3 linked regions of the Tamandua tetradactyla genome follow. The protein of the gene in region 1 binds, or shares a complex with, the protein of each later gene. Links are inferred from orthologs where the notes say so. Each region holds a gene or a part of one and is shown in the gene's direction. Other genes may lie near its edges.

What was found.
Region 2: AHI1 (region 1) and CC2D2A share a complex: the UniProt entries of both Homo sapiens proteins name them as parts of the tectonic-like complex. The link is inferred for Tamandua tetradactyla from reciprocal best matches to the Homo sapiens genes AHI1 and CC2D2A.
Region 3: AHI1 (region 1) and MKS1 share a complex: the UniProt entries of both Homo sapiens proteins name them as parts of the tectonic-like complex. The link is inferred for Tamandua tetradactyla from reciprocal best matches to the Homo sapiens genes AHI1 and MKS1.

The regions. Positions count from the first base shown.
Region 1 is NC_135351.1:35,788,045-35,795,759, reverse strand, and holds the start of AHI1 (jouberin), read left to right. Parts: upstream 1-4,699; 5' UTR 4,700-5,046; intron 5,047-5,258; exon of another isoform or gene 5,259-5,418; intron 5,419-5,637; 5' UTR 5,638-5,687; intron 5,688-7,715. UniProt on the Homo sapiens protein: Involved in vesicle trafficking and required for ciliogenesis, formation of primary non-motile cilium, and recruitment of RAB8A to the basal body of primary cilium.
Region 2 is NC_135345.1:14,654,382-14,661,872, forward strand, and holds the start of CC2D2A (coiled-coil and C2 domain-containing protein 2A), read left to right. Parts: upstream 1-4,479; 5' UTR 4,480-4,577; coding exon of another isoform or gene 4,578-4,590; intron 4,591-7,491. UniProt on the Homo sapiens protein: Component of the tectonic-like complex, a complex localized at the transition zone of primary cilia and acting as a barrier that prevents diffusion of transmembrane proteins between the cilia and plasma membranes.
Region 3 is NC_135332.1:39,209,171-39,216,407, reverse strand, and holds the start of MKS1 (tectonic-like complex member MKS1), read left to right. Parts: upstream 1-4,225; 5' UTR 4,226-4,269; coding exon 4,270-4,349; intron 4,350-4,717; coding exon 4,718-4,827; intron 4,828-5,854; coding exon 5,855-5,925; intron 5,926-6,737; coding exon 6,738-6,893; intron 6,894-7,237. UniProt on the Homo sapiens protein: Component of the tectonic-like complex, a complex localized at the transition zone of primary cilia and acting as a barrier that prevents diffusion of transmembrane proteins between the cilia and plasma membranes.

The DNA.
Region 1 (7,715 bases):
ATTCTCTTTAAATTTAGAGATAACTGTACATATTTCTTTTAAAAATTAACTTTGTTTAAAAACATACTCAAATTATTGGATAATATTTCTGACAAAATATGTCCTGTACCAAAAAAAGAGGAAAACCTGAATCCGAATGTGAGTTACTTGTGTTTCCAGAAGGTTCCGTGGGAGTGGCGCATCGTGCCCACCCAGGGTCAGGCTGCGTTCTTTCTGGTCTCCCCTAAGAAGTCGTAGGTCTGCTCTGAGAGGGTGAAAGCAGGATGGGCTCCTGGCGACAGCAGGGCCCGGAGGGCGCCGTCACTGCCCTGCTCCTGCTGCAGGAAGCTGGCGATGGCCCGCCACCGTGCCGCCTCCGTCTCTTCCTCGGCCCACCTGGGCGCGGGCAGCCGTGTGGAGTGCAGCAGCGGGTACGCGCAGTCGTGGTAGACCAGGAGGAACGTGGCTTTCAGGAACTCTCTGTCTCTCTTCTCTGATCTTTTTAGCATGCTTTCTTTCTCAGCCCATGCACTCCTGAGGGCGTCCATGAGGTCAGGCTGCTCCAGGAGCCTGGGAAAGGTGGCCAGCACAGGAGGTCCTGCCTCTCAGGAGCACGTCTCCGAGGACTTGATGGTAGAAGACCAACAGGTGGCTGCAGCACATGCTCCCAATCAATGTTTCTGGCAGGAGACTTAATATGTTTCTTGACCTTTGGCTTAAAGACCTCAGCTTTACCAGGAGTTGAGGCTGCCTTCTCATTGTCATCATCTGGTGGAAAACACTGCCATGTGCTCTTCTGGATATTGAAGGGTCTACTTCAACCCCTTTTTCATAAGGGGTGCCGCCATTCAAGATGAGCTCGTAAGTTTTTGCTGGAATAGGAACTCCACTGTCATTAAAGTCTGAGAAACACCCAGCCACAACTCAACTCTCCTCTTCCTCCAGTTGAATTGCGAATATAAGAAATTCCAAGTTCAAACAGTATTCCAAGATTTGGAGATGAAGAATTGGACCTGACAAAACAATCTCCATCAAGCAAGCATGGCAAGATGCCAGTAACCTGCAGGGAGAAGGTCCAGGAGCGGGGCTTCTTGGGCTGCCACGTGGCCCTGACGGTGTGAATGTTGCTCAGAACCTTCTCGCCGTCAAAGAGGCAGAGGCGCACCTGCCTGCTGAGGACCTGCACGCTTGCTCCGGGGAGAGGGACCATCTTACAGCTCCACAGGGTCAGAATCAGTGAGGCACGGCTTGGTCTTGACCTAATGGTGCCTGCGTCAGCATCCCACGCTAGGTCCTTGAATGCCAGCTGTGAAGCGGTGAGCTCTGGTTGTAAGAAATAACTTGCTCGAAATTGAGTTCCTTCATCCAGGAGCCGGGAGAGCGTGGATGGCCTGAACCCCGCAGGGATGGCGCCCAGTGTGGTCAGCGCATCAACAGTGCTTATCTGCTCTGAGATAGCTTTTTTTTTTTTTTTTTTTAAAGGAAAGACAGAGAGAAGGAAGGAAGGAAGAAAGGGAAACATTTTTAAACATTTTCTTGTTTTATTGTATTCTGTTTCTCCGTTTTTGTTACATGGGCTGGGGCCGGGAATCGAACCGAGGTCCTCCGGCATAGCAGGCAAGCACTTTGCCCGCTGAGCCACCGCGGCCCTCCCCTGAGATAGCTTTTTGAACAGCACTCCAATGAGAATCAGTTCTCTGTTTACCTTCCACTCCACCTGCTGTCTCATCTGCCCCCTCCACGTCTTCTCCACTGCCTTCGTCACTCGATTCCTGGCCTTCTTCTTCATCACAGGGCTGAGAACACCCGCGAGACAGGACACGCTGTCCACCTGGTGTGGGAGCCAGCCCACACACACGCCAGTCCTCCAGGTAGGTTCTGGGAATGAGACCTTCATTTCCTTCGGCATTCCTGGCTATCCACCAACCATCAGGTTTCTTTTCAATTATAAGGAGAACTTCCTCTTTCTGGAATGTAAGATCCCCAACTTGCTGAGCAGCAAAATCTCCAATAGCAACATATTCTTGACTTGCTGCCTGTTGCTGGGACTCATTTCCTCTTTCTCCTCTTCTTCCTCCCCATCATTTTCTTCACTTTCTTCATCTTCGTCTTCTTCAGCAGAATTGTCATCTTCCTCTCTTTCAGTAAGTGCTCCAATTTCAGTCAAGTTTTCTCGATTTATGGCCACAGCAAGTTCCTGCAGTTGGTGGGTGAGCTTATCCAAAAGGTTATGCTCCTCATTTTTTTTCTGATGATAGTTCCCCACAGGTGCAGGTTCATCAGCTTTGTTTAATTTTTGAAGAGCATTTTTATTTTCATCGATTGCATGTTTCAACTGGATACATCTTTGGTAAATATCTCGCCTTTTATTGGCTTCTAGAGTTTCTGTCAACTGGATCTCAGAAAGCAAAGTATCAACCTGCTGCTTCAGCTCGCGGCTGCGGCGCTGCACCGCCCGGAGGGGGTCCCCAACATCTGTTTTGATTGGTTAATGCAAATGTGTACTGGGTTGAGGCAGGTTAGACAGGGGAGGAGGGAGGAGGAAGTGACCCTAAAACCTGAAACAAAAAATTTCTTTAGGTACCTACACACCTATCTAGACCCTCCCCCCCATATATATATATACACACAAGAAGTGGGCAAGGCCCCTACAAGTCCTGACCTCAGAGGGATTCTCCTCCTTTGGAGAATGCCACACTCATCTTCCTTAAGAGTGTGTACTTTTGCTACGCAATTAAGTTTTGACCTATAAACACTAGTTAGTCTTTGGATTCTTTGGCTGTACACACTAACAACTCCTAGAATTCTTTCCTGCAACTGAGTTAAGAACTCTCATGTTGCCAGCTCTTGGGTGAAGTCTCAATTTCTGAGAGTTCCTGGGACTCTCTGGCATCAGGATTATAAATTGTGAAAATCAATTACATTTTTTATAAAACAAATTGAGTATTATTTATTAAATGTTTTGAATATTCTGAATCTACTTTATTCCTTAACATTTCAATTTGCATACATACCTAATTTTTTTCATAGCTGGGGAGCCAGCTTAATTATTATTGGACCACGATCACCTCTTAATTACTTGACTCTTCTAGGACAGTATTTTGTGGAGCGAATTATTATTTTGGTGCACCGTGGGAACACAGGTCAGGGCACAACTGAAACTTCCAGCAAATGAGCTCTGCAGTATACAGAATAAAAGATCCAGAAAGGGCAAATTGCCTTGTCATTTACATAGTCCTAAGGAGCAGAGGAAGAAATCCCATCAGGGCCTGGGGTGAATGAAAATTGCTCCGGGATTCATACATGGTACCTTCCAAGTCCCACTTGGCACTGGAGAAAAGAAATCAAGTCTGAGCCTGGCTTGCATCCACGGAGGGGTAAGGGGCCCTGCCACTGAGATTCCTGTTCTGATAAGCATCTGGGGCTGCTTGTTACTGATTTCCAGGTTTAAGGTCTGGCAGGGCCTTTTCATTAGCAAGAACATCTACCCCAGACTGTGGAAGGGCACAGAATAAAAAACGGGGTAGAGAATGGCTGCTTAGCTTGAGTAACTTCTCCAGAGAAGGCAGCAGGGGTAGGTAGGGTCTGAGGGATGACCTCCACTTAACAGCTGTCTGTGATTTTCCTAACATCTTTCTTTTACTCCAAATCTGCCTTTGTCCTGATTTTCCACTCTTAATTAATTAGCATCCCCCATCCAGTTATCTGAAGCAGAAACTTGAGTACCTTTACCTCAATCTTTTTTCAATATTTAAAAATCATTTTAAAGTTACAAAACACTTGCAAGAATAATATAAAGAACTTCCACCTTTGTCAAGTTCCACAATTTTTGATTTAACACATTCTTGATATCATTGTCTCTCCCTCTCCATATATATAATTTATATTTTTATTTATTGCTATTATTTATATATACATTTTTCCTGAACGCTTTTAACGGAGGTTGCAGACCTTTAAATAGTTCTCTGTATACTTTCTAAAAACAAGGATAGCTTCTTCATTACTAGAGTGTAGTTATCAAAATTAGGAATTTTAACTGGTTAAAAAAAACAAGCATCTAATCCACAGACCCTATTCAAAATTTGACAGATGTTCCAATAATGTCCTCTGTCGTAAAAAAGATTCAATTTAGGAAAAGGATCCGGAAAGGATCCATCACGCTGTCCCGTCTCCCTGCAGTCTGAAACGTTTTTTCATTGTTCTGTTTCTTTCCGACCTTGACACTTTTGAAGACTTCTGTGCAATTTTCCGCAAATTCGGTCTGACATTTCCTCGTGATTAGATTCAGGTTGTGCATTTGGGGCAGAAATATCCCTCGAGGGCGTTCTCTGTGCTCTCTGCAGGTTGCACACCACGCTGGTTTGTCCCATTACTGGCGATGGTAACACTAATCATCAGCACCACGCTGGGAAGACGATGGTGCCCTGATCAAGCAAAAAACCCAGAAGGGAGCAGATTTTGAGGGGAAAGATGGAGAGTCCCACGTTGGGACACGTTGGATTGGCAGTGTTTCTTCTCTCCTGCCTCACTGTTTGGAACAAGTGAGATACGCTTTGTTAGATGTGGTGGTGCCAAGGGGAAGGGAAAGTCGGGCCTCCACACAAATATGCTCCACCTTGTCTCACTACAAAGATGCCATAGGTTGCAGCGCCCGCCTACGGCTGCGGAAAACGGCCTCTTCACGCAAGAGTTGAGGCGCGACTCGTCTCCAGCCCGGGTGACTCAGCCAAAGATGGCGCCCGCGGCAGAAAGAGGAGCAGGGAAGGGGGCGTTGTGGAAAAGACGACGTTTTCCTCTGCATGAAACACAAAATGGGATGGCTCAGGGCTAGACGGATGGTGGATACTTTTTTCTCTGATTTTTTCCTGTAGTGCAACTCTTCATTCTCGACGCTCTAAACGCGTGTTTCATTCCGGGGAAGCGAATGCGAGGGGGCGACAAGTCTGCTTTTGCCTCATTCATGGTCCTCCTTGTCCTCGGCGGTCTCCGGCCCAGCCTCCCCGCTCCCCCTCCCGCGTCTTTCTCCCGGCGTTTGCGGCGCCCTGAGGCCGGCAGAGCGTTCCTCAGGTGAGGGCACCACGGGGCGCGTGCCCGCAATCCGCGGCCTTCTGAAGGCTCGCGGGCGCGCGCGTCCTGTCTGCGCAGACGCCGATCAGCAGCGCCTCCGGGCGAGGCCCCAGACCCGAGGGGGTGTCGAGGGCAGGCTGCGGTCCCGGCTGGGCTCGCGGGCCCAGCCGGTTGTCATGGGGACGGCGGCGTAGGCAGTGCTGACGTCAGCGGCGGCGCGCGGCCCGCACCGCAGCATCAGCCGCTGGCAGAGTCCGGGTCCCTTGCGGCCGCCGCTGACTCCCGCCCGGCCGGGCCCACTGGGCGCGGGGAGCCGCCTGGCAGCACCGGGGGTGGGCTCGGGAGGGACGGGCTGTCCGCGCCCTCCTCTGCGTGAGTACGCTGCGGGCGTTCGGCCCGGCGGACCTTTCGGGGCAGCCGGATGGGCGGGGGTGGCCGCGGGGAGGCCGGGGTCGGTGAAGGAGGGACCTGCCGGCTGCCCTGCGTGCTTCCCCGCGCTCGCTGCGCGGCTCGGCCTTTGCTGTCCGGGATTCCGGTTTCAAAGCCTTGAAATCAGATGCGCACTGAGTATTCTATTTCTTTTTTAAATAGCGTCAGCCTGATGCTGAGTCTTGAACCTGTGAAATCGCATCTGAGAAAAGGTAATCCATGAGTTACAGTTGAAAAGAAAGTTCAATTATGTTCATGGAATTGTTTAGAAATATATAGAAATAGACACGTATACTCTAGGAATCGCTACAAAATATTTGTGTTGCGTCTCAACAGTACAGTGAAAACATCCACAGACGGGTATATGGCTTTACCTTTTTTGAGAAAGATGATAACAGGTTTTTCACCTGTTGCATTAATGATTGCTGCTATCGCTTGAGCTTTCAGCAAGAGGAATGCAAGTTACGTGGACATTGGGGAAAATGTTTAATATTTACAAAAAACTCATACTAAAAGGGTTTTAAAAACATATTTAGAATACTGGTGCTTTATGGAGAGTTGGTGATTTATTGATTGAATTATTTATACAGGGTTTTTTTTTTCTTTGATACAAAATTTGGTTAAGGACTAAATTTTTCCAAGCCTCTCTACCTTTTCTTCCCTTGCTTTGTATTCACGTATTAACTGATAATTGGTAGGTTTCTCAGCTGGTAGGGAGAAGAGACTAAAACTGGATAAAAGAGCTTTATTGTGAGGCTGTGCGCTGGTGGGCTGACGCTTATGATGGTGACAACCTTGAGCAGGGGAAGGGGTATAGGTTATATAGGCGCTAGGGAGGTGGTGGATTTTCACCGTCTAGCTTGGTTGTACGAAATTGGCAGCTTAAGTACGGAGTTATTGCGAGCTTGTAGCTGCTGCGGCTTTATCTTCCAGGAGGGGGTGGTGGTGGATAAGCGAGCTAATGTAAGATTGTAGCTACTGGGGCTGTAACTGCCTGAAGGCGGAGGTTGGATAAGGGAAGCATGGCTGGAATACAGCTGCCAGAGGGGGTTGCAAGGACACTCATACAACTGCCATGTGGGCTGGGGCAGGTTTGGTTTTGCAAGGGGCTTCCTGGAAGTTATGGGGGGTGGGGGTTAGCCTAATAATAATCAGGTGGACAGGGAAAGTTAAATTAAGACGAAACAATGCAGTTACTTTTACTTCTTAATGTCTCAAAACCGCTTTTCTAAAAAAGGTTTGTGATGAAGCAGATTTAAGATAATGCTGTCTATAAGGTTTAGGGATGTCTTTTTACGTCTGACTTTATTTTTGCAGATAATGTTACTAATTAAATATTAGTCATTAGTTCTGTAGTACACATAAAGTAACATTTAGAGACAATTATTTCTATAATATAGTTGCATTACCGTTAAATAATATCAGTCTTGATTAATTCCACTGTGTATTATGCCATTTAATAATAGTAAATAGTGATATAAATATATAATTTACTTAATTATGTATTTTACTTATTATGAAATTATTTGCTTGTTTTTAATATAATGGGCATAAAGTAATTTCTTGAGTACCTGCAGTGTGCTGCTAGCCAGTGTACTCATCCCTTTGCTTTACAGTATTTAATTTACTCCTTGCAATGAGGTAAGTGTCATTTTAATCTCCCGGGCAAGGAAACCAGGGCTTAGTGAAGTTAAGTTGCTTGCTCAAGGCCAGTCACTCAATAAGTGGCAAAACAAGAACTCAGGCCTGGGTCTCTCTGTTTTCTGACTCCAGACCATTAACAATTTTTTTTTTTAATAGCTGTACAGAGAAGTAAAGAGCACCAGCCTAACCCTTGAAAAGCTAGCAGGTCACAGAAAAGTATAGACACATTTTACCTGAGTCACAATTCAGGTCTCAGGTAGAGGTATGAAGATCAAGGCATCATGAGAACTTAGAGAAGAAGTTAACTATCTTGTGATGTTAGAATGTTACCCGGAGAACATACCATTGCATTTAGTGTCAGAGGATAATTAGGAGTTTGTTAGATGGATGATGAGGAGGAGCATTTCTCAAGAAGAAGAGCACGTCTGTAATGACAAAGTCGAGGCAGGATTTGACATATTTGAGGGCCTGCCTGTGGTTTCCTGTGCCTGGAGCGCAGAATGTAGGAAGTGTGGCAGGAGAAAGGGGTATAAAGAAACACCAGAGGTCTTTCCTTAAATGGCCTTGGATTTCACATTTTGTTCAGTGGATAATTG
Region 2 (7,491 bases), on another chromosome or scaffold:
GGAGACTCAAAAAATAAAAAAACCCACAATGTAAAATGATCTATAGTTTTTGAATAATGAATGAGGATTTGTCATGAAAATTGTTTGCATAAGTTTACACACTGGGCAAACTTAATAGATTGTGCCTGTGTCAGCATTTCTATTTTTCCCTGAAAGGTTTATTTATTTGACTAATGGTTTCTATATTCCTGTAAGATAAATTATTATTATATCAAAACAATCCAGCCACTCTGGGAAAGGTATACATTCTCCTAAGTTTACTCTTCTGCATAAGCTTTGGTATGTTAACCATCTCTAAGGGGAATATATATATACACATATACATATAAACCAAAAATGTCAAAACTGTTTATTGTTCTGAATATACACAATACTTTGTCTATTCAGTAAAGGTTTATTGAGCACTTACTCTATATCACACACTAAGATCTGTTTTGAGATATATTATAAATATTTTTAAAATCCCCATCTTCAGTTGAACACAGTTTGTTTCTGATTTGAATTCACTCCTCATGTATGTGTGTGTATAAGTTTAATGATAGTTGTGAAGGGTAGTAGAAATAGGAAATTTTGTAACACTGGTGAAACTAAAGGTCAAGAGATTTATTAAAAGGAATAAATATCCCTTCTAGGGTTTATGATTCACACTCAGGGTGAAGATTCAATAAGATCAAGGTAAACGAAAACATTTTAAGTATTTTCCCCTTTATGAATGTACAATGCACAATAATTTTAAATGTTCAAACAGACACATTAAGGAAAATTGAGTGCATGGAAATAATTCTGCTAGCAAAAGTGAGGTTGAAGTACAATTTCTCTACTTTTGTTCCATAAATTATGGCATAAACTTTCCTGTGTACTGCTTTGTCTCCAGAACAGTAACGTTATTTGGTTTTTTGTTTCATTTGGGTAGTTTTTTATTAGAGAAGTTGTGAGTTGCAGAAAAATCATGCATGAAATACAGGGTTCCCATATGACACCTGGGTAAGTGTGGAATGTTTGCTACAATTGATGAAAACACATTTTTAACTGTCCTATTAACTATTACCCATGGTTTAATTCTAGTTCACTGTGTTGTCAAGTTCCAGGGATTTTTTTTTAACTTCATTCTAGTAACATATATACAACCTAAAATGCCTCCCTTTAATCATATTCAGATACATGATTCAATGCTGTTAATTACAGTCACAATGTTCTGCTACCATGAACACCATCCCTTACCTTAACTATTTCATTACCTCAGATAGAAATTCTGTACATTTTAAGACAACATCCTGTTCCCTACCCCCACCCCACTCCTAGTCATGTATATTCTAGATTCTGACCCTATGAATTCCCTTTTTCTAGTCATTTCATATCAATAAGATCATACAATAGTTGTCCTTTTGTGCCTTGCTTATATTACTCAGCACGTCTTCAAGTTTCATCTACGTCAAGGCTTTATCTGAACTTCATTCTTTTTTTTACGGTTGAATAATATTCCATTACATGTATATAACAAATTTTTCTTATTCGTTCTTTGGTCGATAGCCTCTCCAACACTTATTATTTTCCATTTTTTTAATAATAGCAATTTTAGTGGATATGAAATGGTATCTTATTGCAGTTGTGATTGCATTCTCCTGATGGCTAGTGATGATGAGAATTTTTAAATATGCTTTCTGGCTATTTGTATATCTTCTTTGAAGAAACGTCTATGTGAATCTTTTGCCCTTTATTTTTGCATGGGCAGGCACCGGGGATCAAACCCAGATCCCCAGCATGGCAGGCAAAGATTGCCCGCTAAACCACCATGGCCCGCCCTGCCCATTTTTAAATTGTTGTGTTTTTTTTTTGGTCTCTTTGTTGTTGAATTGAAGGATTTCTTTATATATTCCAGCTATTAAACCCTAATCAAATACGTCATTTGCAAATATTTTCTTCCATTATGTAGGTTGTCATTTTACACTTATGATAAAGTTCTTTGAAATGCAAAAGTTTTAAATTTTCTTCTTCCTGATCTTGAAGGGAAAGCTTTCAGGCTTTCACCATTGAGTAGAATGTTAAAAGTGTTTTTTCATACATGTCTTTTATCATGTTGAGGATGTTTCCTTCTATTCTTAGTTTTCTAAAGTATTTGTGTTAATAAGTGGTACTGGATTTTGTCAAATGCCTTTTCTGCCTCACCTGAGATGACTGCATGCTTTTTTAATTTCAGTCTGTGAATGTGGTGTATTACATTAATTGATTTTCTTATGTTGAACCACTTTTACATACCAGGGATAAATCCTCACTTGATCATGGTGTATAATTCTTACAGTGTGCTGTTGGATTTGGTTTGCTAGTATTTTATTAAGGATTTTTGCATCTATATTCATAAGAAATATTGGTCTGTAATTTTCTTTTTTTGTGGTGTCTTTATCTGACTTTGGCATGATGGTATTGTTAGCTCACAGAATGAGTTAGGAAGTGTTCCTCTTCTTCAATTTTTTAAAAGAGTTTGAGAAGGATTGGTGTTAATTATCCTTGGAATGTTTGGTAAAACTCACCAGTGAAGACTTCCGGTCCTGGGCTTTTGTTTGTTCAGAGGTTTTTGATGACTGATTCAATATCTTTACTAGTTATTAGTATTCGAGATCTTCTATTTCTTTTTTTTTACTTTTCATTTATTCATTTTTTTTTTTAACATGGGCAAGCGCCGGAAATCAAACCCAGGTCTCCAGCATGGCAGACAAGAACTCTGCCTGCTGAGCCACCGTGGCCCATCCAGAGATCTCCTATTTCTTTTTGAGTCAAAGTAGGTATTTTGTGTTTTTCCAGCAATTTGTCATTTCATCTAGGTTATCTAACGTGTCAGGGTATTGTTGTTCATAGTATCCTCTTATAGTCCTAATTTCAGTGGGATTGGTCACAGTGTCTCCTTTTATCATTTCTGATTTTAGTTATTTGTGCCCACTCTCTATTTTTCTTCACCATTCTACCTAAAGGTTTGTCAATTTTATTTATCTTTTCAAAGAACCAACTTTTGGTTTTGATGATTCTGTTTTTTTCAGTTTTCTGTTTCATTTGTCTCTGCTCTAATCTTTATTATTTCCTTCCTTCAGCACACTTTGGGTTTGCTCTTCTTTTCCTAGTGCTTCCAGTTTTGAAGTTGGGCCTCTACTTTGCAATCATCCTTCTTTTTTAATAGAAGCATTTAGAACTATAAATTTCCCTCTCAGCACTGCCTTTGCTGCATCCCCTAAGTTTTGGTATGTAGTATTTTATTTTCATTTGCCTCAAAACATTTCCACGTGTTTTTTTTATTTTCCATTTCTCCCCCTCTGTTATGATTTCTAGCTTCATTTCACTGTGTGGTAAAAGATGATGCAATGATGATTTCAATATTTTTTTGTATTTATTGACACTTGTTTTGCTCTCTAAGATAAGGTTGGTCCTGGAGAATGATCCATGAGCACTTAAGAAGACTGTGTGTCCTGCTGCTGTTGGATGTGTTCTACATATGTCTCTTAAGTAGAGTTGGTTTAGAGTATCATTCAAGTCTTGTATTTCCTTACTGACAACCTATCTAGATGTTCTCTCCATTATTGAAAGTAGTGTATTAATGTTTCCGGTTATTATAACCACATTTCTCCCTTCAAATCTGTTAGAATTAACTTCATATATTTTGAGGCTCTGCTCTTAGGTGCATATATTTTTAAATGTTTTTGTTTTCTTACTTAATTATGTCTTTTCAAACCGGCACTTATCCATTCTGCCAATCTCTGCCTTTTGAATGGAGAGTTTAATCCATTTATATTTAAAGTCACTATGATAAGGCAGGTCTTTCCTCTGTCATTTTACTATTTTGTCTTTGTAAGTCTAATACTTTGTTTGTCCCTCCATTTTCCATTAATGCCTAGTTTCATATTCATTATTATTATTTTTTACATTGTATGGTATCAAGTCCCTTCTTGTGTCTAGGGCATATTTTTTATATATTTTCCTCGTGGTTGGTTACCCATGGGGTTAAAATTTAATATGCTAAATATATAACAATCACATTTGATTTGATAACTTGACTTCAATAGCATACATATGATACTGTTTGATTTTAAGGCCTCACCTTAAAAAGTAAAAGTAACTTGATGTCATATGGTGAGAAGAGCAATGAACAAAAGAGAGAAAAAGAACCGTTTAGATACCTGAGACCCTTGCTTTTGATTTGCCTAAGTCTGTGGTTTGCAGAATGTTACCCACCCTAACTCATTCCTAACTAGTGTATATATTAAGCTCTTTGAAATGTGAGTATTATGGGAAGGATCGCAGTTGCTTTAAATTATAGAAGTTGGCAAGTGCCTGGGAGAAGGAGTGGGAGGTTGTTTAAACTGAGAAAGACAGTTGCAAAACTTCGTACAACAGCATGAGCTCCAAGCTTCAAAAGCATTCTCATGCTCAGACGAGTGCTTTATTTTTCACCAAGTTATTTTTGCATTGTTTTGAAGCAGCTTCAAATAATAAACACATATTTTTGCTTTAAATTTTTTAATGGTTTCTAAATTCATGGGACAGCCAAAACAAGAAAGCCTCATGTTTTGGAGGAAAGTTTGACATCAGGAATGCCTAGAAAAGGTAAGCTACCATTTTCGCTACATTTTTCTCTTTTTTCCTCCTGTTTGGCCTTCGTCAAATACATTTACTGGAAGAACTTAAGACAGCTTCTTGTAAGGAAATGAGGAACTTGTAGAAAGTATGTCAACAAATGATAAATCAGAAGTTGAAAAGCCTCAGCAGTAGTATTTCTCCTACTTTCTATTCTGCTTGATGCATGAACTTTTGTGAAATATTTTTAGCTATATGAAAAAAATGACATTTCTCTTAGAAAATAGGGGCAGGAGTTCCTCAAAATCTCTATCCCGTATAAACCCAACACTTGCCTGTGTGCTGATGGGCTAATTTATTGTCAAGTTCAGAGTCTTTATGTTTTCTTATTCCACTATATGTAATTCACCTTTCGGAGCTATGATTTTTGCATCAACTCGGAAATCTTTCCCATGGAAGATTTTAATATCATTCCAAAAATTCTCTTAAGCACGGTTACTGTCACTTCTTATAAACTTGCTTTGCAGATAGTGGTTTTGAATGTTAAATAAATCATTTGACTTTTCCATTGTAACTACACTGGAGGATATTATAGACATTATATATCTGGGAAGGGGGAGTGGGGGACGTTCACCTGAATGTTTGTTAGTTCGCGTTGCAATTGGCCGAAAATGTTGCTCTCTGAATAAGGTGGTTTTGCATTATCAATTGTGCCTCATAAACAGGTAGGGAGCAGAGAGGCTGTGACGTTTTCTTGTATTTCTACGCATCGGTTATACGAGAGGTATCTTGTGGTTTTAGGTGAAGAAGTGTATAAATGCATAAGCTGTTCCTATTTCCCTGAGAAAGTCCCTGTTATCAGCATTTCCATCTTTCGGAGGCAGAATCCCAGGTGCAAAAAAAAGATACCCGCAGAGATCTGCAAATTCTTCTAGCAGGCTGAGATTTTGTCAGAGACCCACATTCATTCTTCCTCGCACACATACGTATGTACTCACAGCCAGCCATTAAAAAACCCTGAGGGTTCTGTTACGCTTCAGAGGTTTGGGACATCCCAGGTGACTTCAATCTGCAAAACCTGCTTGTATAGAAACATGAGCAAACCAGCCCAACGGGACATGGGTGAAAATGGTGGGGTACAGCATGGGGGACGCTGCTCCCGGAATAGTGAGGGACAGGAAGGGCCGTGAAGGGCTGTGCCTTCCTTGCCATACTAGCTGTTTTTCGGCTTTTTGAATAATATTTCCTTCTGTGTCAAATTCTAGTTGCATAAAGTGGATTATTGTAGCTTCCTCTGCCTTTTCTGGTCTCAGTGGAAGGGGAGGGGTCAAGGTCAAAGAAGGATGTTAGTACAGAAAAGCAAGAAGACAGCTTGGTCTCTTCCTTGCAAGGTGGTGGACTTAGTTGCCTTTCTCCATCCACAGCTGTTAGTGGAAGAAGTGAGGGACCTGTAACAGCCAATTTATTGTCCTCCTTTCCCTGTCTTCTCTTTCTTCCTTTTCCCCTCCACTTCTAATGTGCCAGCCCAGAGAACATCAAGAGAGGGAGGAGCGGGTTGGACTGACAAAATTATTTCCATCTCCGCCTTCCTGGTCCTCTCGATGTCCCCCTGGGCAGCTGGGGAAGCCCCCACCATATTTGGAGGGGGGGTCCTCCAGGTCCCCACCCCATGACCTCATTGCAGGCAGCCGGAGCCAGGGGGGGTGGGATGGCCAGCGGTTGCATGGCGCCTGAGTGCACCCTGGGGACGGGTGTGGCTGGGAAATGCGCCGTGTGGCATGACGTGACTGCTGGGGTCTGGGGCACCCGACTCCCCATTTTGGGGCTCCATGGAGGCTGGCGGCAATGCTGGACGCCAGACCCAGACCAAGCCTCTCCTCTGGGCCAGAGAAGGCTTGAAAGAGGACAAAAACAAAAAGGCAATTAAGGTTGCTGATGAAGCCCCAAGCCAGCTGACTCATCGGAGGCACAGTCTCTCAGGGGCTTGGCAATGAAACCTGGATGAGGCGCTGGAAAGGACAGGTCACAGTTGACCCAGGAAGGACACTGATGGGACGCCCAACCTGACCTATGGGTGCCTTCTCATGTCGGAGGGGCCGAGGGAGACGAACATCTGCCGGGTGGAGGGAGGAAGAGTGTTAACTAATGAACTGCTGGGGAGAAGGGCAGCATGCAGTCTGCCTGGCTTTGGGGTGGGAAGGTGGTGAGTAAAAGTTGCAGGTCCCAGCTCCATAAACCAGGATCTGAAAAGCCTCCGGTCAGGAATCAATACCTGAGTAGGGGTCTTAGCTTCCTAGAGCTGTCGTAGCAAAATGCCACACACTGGGTAGCTTAAAACAACAGCCATGGACAGTCTCACAGTTATGGAAGCTAGAAGTCCCAAGCCAAGATATTGGGAGGTCCTGCTCCTTCTAAGATTGTAGGAAACGATTTGTTCCAGGTTCTGTCCTGGCTTCTGGCACTGGCTTGCAGGGAACCCGAATGGCATTCACTGCCTCTGCTGTCCCATGACATTCTCCCCTTGTCTCTGTGTCCAATTCTCCTCTTCTTATAAAGATTCCAGTCATATTGAATGAGGGCCATCCTAATCCAGTTTGGCCTCATCTTAACCGATAATATCTTGGGCCACCCCATTTCCAGATAAGATCGCATTGACAGAACCAAGGGTTAGAACTCAAATCTGTCATTTTGGGTGGATGCAATTCAACCCCTAACAAGGGGCTAAGAGAGAAACGTTATTTTTATCGCAGCAGCCCCTTTGGAGTGGCCACTCTGCACCAGTGTCCTTGGCAAAAACAGACCAAACACAAACAAGCAAAATCTGCATAAGCCAAAGACCAAATATAAACTACAGTCTAGAAAGGTTGGAGAGAACACAAAGGGGGGCGCTTTGCAAATCTGCCTGCTGAAATCAAAGCAACTTTCCCAGTA
Region 3 (7,237 bases), on another chromosome or scaffold:
CCATGTCAGGACATGTCCCTGGAGACATGGGCTAACCTGTTGGGACCTGTAGGGAAGAATGGAGCTGACTAAGATAAAAGCAATTAATTATCAAAAGCTTAGTATGTTTCTTAGGAAAAGGCATTTGAGATCTGGCTGGGATTTACAAGCAAACTGCTTCAGAGGCTCAGCTTCTGGGTATTGCTGACCTATTTTGGTCTCCTACTGATTCCGGTAACGTTCGTGTGATAATAGTGGTCCCACCTGTTCTACTTGTTGACACACTGCCTGTAAGTGGGATTGGGAAATGGTGGGATGCTCAATGCTCGCTCTCTTGGTGCACTAAGTTGGCCTGAGTTTTTTCTGTCTTTACTGTAGTCCAAGGTGGGAATAGAACAGGGAGTCTATAGAATGTAAAAGAATATTGCCTGCATTCCTGGACCCTACACTCCCTCCCCTCCCCCCAAAAAGGATATTACTTGCAGATTGTGATCATAAAATCAAAGCCTTCAATGGTCCACGATGTTTCTGTATTATGGTAAAATAATTTATGAATAACATTTGTGGTAGATGCCGCTGGTGCCCTGCCCATGTCTCCTCACCCACGAATACACTTTGAGAATCCCTATTCTACACCATTTGCCAGAGTTCCCCAAAGGGATGAAGCTCTGGGTGTCTTCAGTGGAACTTGATTGATAATGCCTACTTTAGGCTTTGTTTCCTTACCTCCTTTCTTCCCCCTTCTCAAACCAGCATTTCCTGGATCACCTCCCCAGAGCGTTACTTGTAGCAGATGCTTTTGGTCTCATTCCCAGGTCCTCTTTACCAGCTGCTGAGAGTGTTAGCTGCTCCTTTACAGTCAACCCCTATCTCCAAACCAATGATCTGTTCTCCATCTCTATAGTTTGTCCTTTTCTAGAATGTCATATAAAAGAAATCATATAGTATATATAGCCTTTTGTATCTGGCTTCTTTCACTTAGCATATTGCTTTATGTGTCAGTAGTTCTTTCGTCTCTAAGGTTGAGTATATTCCATTAAATAAATATTGTACAATTTGTTTCAATATTTACAAATTATTGTAGATAAATTTATTTGATGAATAAAATAAATATTGATGAATAAAGTTTACATACAGGTCTTTGTGTGAACATATGTTGTCACTTCTTTAGAGTAAATACTTAAGAGCGGAATTGCTGGGGATCATATGGTAGGCAAATGTTTAGCTTTATAAGAAATGTCCAGTTTTCCAAAATGGTTGTACTATTTTGCATTCTGATCAACCCTGTATGAGAGTTCTAGTTGTTCCACATCCTTTTCAGCACTTTGTATTGTCCATCTTTTAAATTTTAGCCAATTTAATAGGTGCGTAATGGTATTCCATTGTGGTTTTAATTTGCACTTCCCTGATGACTGATAATGTTGAACACCTTTTCAAGGACTTATTGGCCATTTATATGTCTACTCTGATGAAGTATCTGTTAAAGTATTTTGGCCACTTAAATAATAAGATTGTTTGCCTTATTATTACTGAGTTTTAAGAGGACTTTATGTATTCTGGATATAAGTCCTTTATCAGATATGCATGTGTTTTGCGAATATTTTTCCCAGTCTGTTTCTTGTATTTTCATTGTCTTAACAGTGTCTTTCAAAGAACAGAAGTTTTTCATTTTGATGAAGATCAATTTATTAATCTTTTCTTTCATAGTTTGTCCTTTCTGAGTTCTAAGAAGTATTTACCCAGCTCAGGGTCTCAAAAAATTTCTCCTATGTTTTTGTCTAGATGTTTTACAGGTTTTTTTGCTGTTGTTGGGAGTGGGGGTGCATGGTCTGGGAATCGAACCTGGGTCTTCCTCATGGAAGGCGAGCATTCTATCACTGAACCACCTGTGCACCCTAGATGCCGTACAGTTTTAGCTCTTACTTTTACATCTCTGATCAATTTTGCTGTAATTTATTAAATTGCTCAAGGTTAGGGGCTGAGGATTTTTGCTTTTTGTGGTGTGTGTGTGTGTGTGTGTGTATGAATGTTTCCCTGATGTCTGGATGGTAAATCATCCCAGGATTATTTGTTGAAAAGACTATCCCTTCTCCATTGAAATCCTTTGGGACCTTTGTCAAAATCAATTAACCACATATATATCTATTTATTCTGGGCTTCTCTTCTGTTCCATTGGTCTTTATGTCTACCTTTATGCCAATACCACATTGTAGTGTTCACCATATAGTTATATTAAGTGTAGAAATCAGGTAGTAAATGTTCTGATGTGGCTCAGATGGGCCTGGATTAGGAAATAAAAATTTGGGAAGGAGCTGGGGATGGGAGTAGATTTAAGGAGGGAGCACTGTTCAAAGGAAAGCCCATAGGTTTGAGTCCAAGATGTAAGCTAGACTCTACGCCCCCTTGTCATGGCAACTGTGGGAAATTCAATTAATGTCTTGGTTTACAAATACATAAAAGGGAGACAAGAATATCTATAAAGTCTGTAAAGATAAAATGAAATAGTATATGTGCAAGTGTTTTCTAGACAAAGCAATTTATACAGATGCTGATGTTATTTCAGGGAGAACACAGTGGATATCAACTCTGAACCACAGAGGTGGGGTGGGGTTGAAGGCTTATGGATGATGGAACATGGAATTTTGGCCTTTATGCTGCATAGTCCAAACCTTTCATATGAAACAAGATGTTAGAATATGAATGTAGTAGGACCATTCTTGATATCAGGGTATAAATTCTTTCCAGAATCTGATAAAAATCATGAACTCTTTCCAGAAAATGTCCCTCACTAAATTCTAAGAAAGGGGTTCACAGATTCCTTGAACTCTACTTAGAGACCCTCATTTTAAGGATTCCTGATTCATATGTACCAGTGAAAAAGAAAAAAGCATGAAAAATATAGTTTACCTGTATAAGAATAATACTAATTTTAGTCCCTTATATAAAGAGCTTAAATTTCCATACCATGTAGTATATTTACTATTTTGCATACAACTATGTCAGATTGACTTTGTGTGCATTCAATTTGGTTATAACATTAAATTGTTTATTCACAACTGTGAAAGGAAAATTTAGAGTGAACGTTTCTTAAGAACTAGTATTCTGCCTCCATGTTTCATCTGTTGAAATAATTACTTACCAGACTGGAAACTGTGTTCTCTCTCTCATGGAGCAAACTGATCGGTGAGAGCCTTTGAAGTGCAGTGTAAGGTGTTCGGGTTTCAGAAAAAGATAAACTTGGCCTGGAATCCTAGCTCCTTTACCACTCACTAGTAGTACAACCTTACTAAGACCTATAATTCCCTGGACTTCATTGGCTTCATCTGTTAATTGGGAATACCTACTTGAAGAGTTTCTATGAGGATTTGGGACAATGCATACAAGGTACATAACAGGGGTTATGGTGCCCCAGAATTCCCAGAGCCATATAATCAAATGGCATGAGATATGAGTTGAGGAGACAATTGCTTACTCTGTTGGGAGAGTACCAGATGTCAAAGACTAATAAATGTTGATATCCCCAAGGTGCCAGGGAGCTAGACTCAAGGTTATGGTGTGTCCTGCCTATGCTAGTTCAATGAAGCATGTCTCCTGAATGGCACTTTGTTGGTCTTTCAGGACGCCAGTGCAGTTTCTAAGGTGGCTTAATGACCCAGAACTAACATACACAGGGGAAGAATCTGTTCACTAATAACATTTCCCCCTTCCTTACTGTTGACTTCCTTGTTTTTTCTTTCTCTCGCTTAGTGAATGCCAATGCAACGACTAATGAATGGACACCACCTTATTTTCCTCTCCAAGGATATAGTTTCGATTGTGGGTAAGTGCCAATCATCTTCCCTGACTCCTTTGGAAAGAGTGGGTGCTTTCTTTGATTCACGTTCATCAGTTTTCAGGCCAAAGTTTTAACGTTCAGTGGAAGGCGGTGTGGCAGAATGGAGATAATGGGCGTGGGCCACCTGAGTCCCTATCACCATTCTTCATCTATATGAAACGAGCTGATGGTTGGGCCGGTTTCTTTATTTGTAAATGCATCAAGTCCGGCCTTGGGTATGAGTGAGCTTTGTTCATACGCTGACCAGGTGAGACGCTGCCGTGGACCGCCTTAGGCGTTCGGCTGCGCCGGGACTGCACGGGCCGGCGGGCGGGCGGGCTGCGGGGCCGCACCGGGATTGCGCGGATTGCGCACGCAGCGCCTGGGTGTCCCCGCGAATCCAGCGTCTTCGTTACTAGGGAAACCTGGGCGGCGCGCTTTCCGGCGCTGTCGTGGCGCGGCGCTACTCTGCGGTCATGGCGGAGACCGTCTGGAGTCCTGACACTGCGGAGGCCGTGTATCGTTCCCGCGACCCCGTGCGCAACTTGCGCCTCCGGTAGTCGCACCGCCTTGGCATGGAGTCCTGTGCTCCCCTCTCCCGCCCCCCAAATAATTCGAGCCTGACTTCTTTTCTCGCTTTTCTGACTCCCCGACTTCCGTTTTCAAACCCGACCACACACACCCTCCTCGGCCTCCCAGCATCACGCTGCCTCTCAGGACGCCTCTCCGCTTAAAGACCTCCTCTTAAGTTCCTTCCCCACCCAGATTCGTCAGCACCCGCGCCCTACCGACTTCCCCTTAGTGGCCTGCACCCAGAGCACCTTAGCAGCCCTGCCCTCTGCTTTTCCCCCCACTATCCTTGCTGTGTTCAGTTCTGGTTGTGTGTCTTGTAACGCGTGTTTTGGGCCTCTCTTTTCCTGACAGCGTCCACCTGCAAAGAATCACATCAAGCACCTTTTTCCAGTACCAGCCTGCTGCCCAGCCTGGGAAGGACCTCATAGACTTGGCAACTTTTAGGCCCCACCCGAGCGCCAGTGAGTGTTTTGGTGGTGATGTGGCCTCCTGGGAATCTGGGGAAGAACCTGTTGTGGTAGAGTTACTTTTAAGATGGAGCACACTCAGGTTTATGTGTGAGTGTGAGAGAAATCACCTTTTTCAGACTAGGCAACTGCAGTACAGAGAAGTTGGGTTCCTTGCCCAGGCAGTTTTAACTACTACACTAGGTTGTGTATGAAAATTGAATAAGCCATGATTCCTGCCATTGAGACATTGATCTGAATTGTGGTCAAATGTAGTAAAATAACAAAGCCATACTTTAGAAATGTTGAAGAAATGACAACTTTAATACCATTTTTCCCCTAAGAGAAGATATGTTCCGAACTCTAAATGATGTGAATGCTTTGTTAGACCATTTTAAAGTTGAGGATTGCTTGAAGAATGCACATGTTAACATCGACAGTGCTGTTGTGCTTTTCCTTGTCTGGGAATCCAGAAGAGTTGAGGAAGAAAGCACAGTGTGCTTGTGTAAGGTTACTAGTCTCTCTGGTTTTATCATGTTTCTGTTTCTGTTAAAAAATATTCCCAGAAAACATATGGGCTGGAGGGGTGTGAAGTATGTGTTTCTGAAAAAGGCACGCTCAGCCAGGAGTGGGTTAGATTTGGGTCTTTTAAAAATTTTATGCTTCTACATAGATGGCTTCAGTGTTCCTTTTTAGTAAATATAGACAGTTGAGATTAAGGAAGGGCTGTCATCCTTTATCTAAATTTCAGCCCCTTATACTGAGTTAGATTAAATGATTCCTGGAAGGCAGGGCTACCTTTAACTCAAATTAGAACAGTATTTAAGACTTCTTCGGTTTTAATTCTGGCTTTTGCACATACTAAACAGAGCCCATGCATAACCTCTCTAGTTTCTGTCTAGAGTCAGTGCTAAAAAAACCATCGAATTCCAGCTATTTTTGAGCCAGACATAAGAGCAGGGACTTTGATTATAACCATCAGAGGAGTAAGAAGTGGTCCTGGTTTGGCTTCAGCAGTTGACTCGGTCTGTTATCTTTGAAGGTGGACACCGTCCGGATGAAGATGAAGAGGAGGAGGTGGTGATTGGTTGGCAGGAGAAACTGTTTAGCCAGGTAAGCCAGTGTGACTTGTCCACTGAATCTTCCTCCACTTGGTCCATTTCCACTTGGATGACTGCAGGGAAAAAAAACCCCAACTTTGAAAGAGAGGGCTGTTGCCATAAAGGTGCCCTAGACCCATGTCATTATTTATTTATTTATTATTTATTTATTTATTTATTTATTTATTTATTTATTTATTTTTGAACATGGGCAGGCACTGGGAAATGAACCCAGGTCTCCGGCATGGCAGGCGAGAATTCTGCCACTGACCCACCATTCTACCACCCCATGTCACTAATTTTAAACTATTTCAGTGAATATTTTTGTATTAGACCCTGTTTTACTCTGGTTATTTTCTCAAATTAGATTCTTAGAAGTAACATAACTAGATGAAAGTATTAGTTTGGAGATTCTTGATACATATCACTAAACTGATTTCCAGAAAGACTGTAACCATTTATACTTTGCCTTGTAGTACAGGGGCAATAGAACATAGTGAAAAATAGCCCTGGCTTTGAGTTCAGGTAGACTTGCGTCAAATCCTGACTGCCACTAGCCAGTTTTATGATCTTGGGTAAAGCACTTTTCACCTCTGGGCCAGGTGCACTCTATAACAGGGAAGTTGGATTAGACTGTTACTCTTATTCTTCTTACTTCTTAACATTCTTTGAATACCCTGCTCTCTGTTAGCCTGGATGAGTGAGAGTTGGTTATGAAAACATGTCAAATAGCATTTGTTCTATAGAACTGGTTTAGTTAGAAAGTGATAAGAACCACAGTTAGAAGTACTCTCAGTAAACTCTGTTTTCTTTTGGTGACCTCAGTTTGAGATAGATTTGTACCAAAATGAAGCAGCCTGCCAGAGCCCTTTGGATCACCAGTACCGTCAAGAGATACTGCAGCTGGAGAATTCAGGCGGCAGGAAAAATCGACGAATCTTTACCTATACTGATTCTGATAGATACACCAACCTAGAAGAGGTATTTTTCTTTCCAAGGTCCCATCGCATCCTTCTCTTTTGCCTCCCTTACTTACTAGCCTCAGTGAGTTCTGTGTATTAATAAGAAGCCTGTTATGGGGAAACAAGTAGCTAGCCCAGAAACTGCTGTGTGCTGCTGGCAGCCAAACTTGATTGAGTGGGCACAATCTGCAGATGGTGTGTCTTCTGCTCCCTTCTCTGCCTGCTGGTGGCCCTGGCAAAGCTGGCATGGATCAGCATCTGTAGTGATAGGCTTGCACATTGCAAATGGGGGAGAAGCAGTCACTGAACTTCTTCCATGCATCATGAGGTGAGACAGAGAAGGTAGAGTTTGGAACAGTTTAG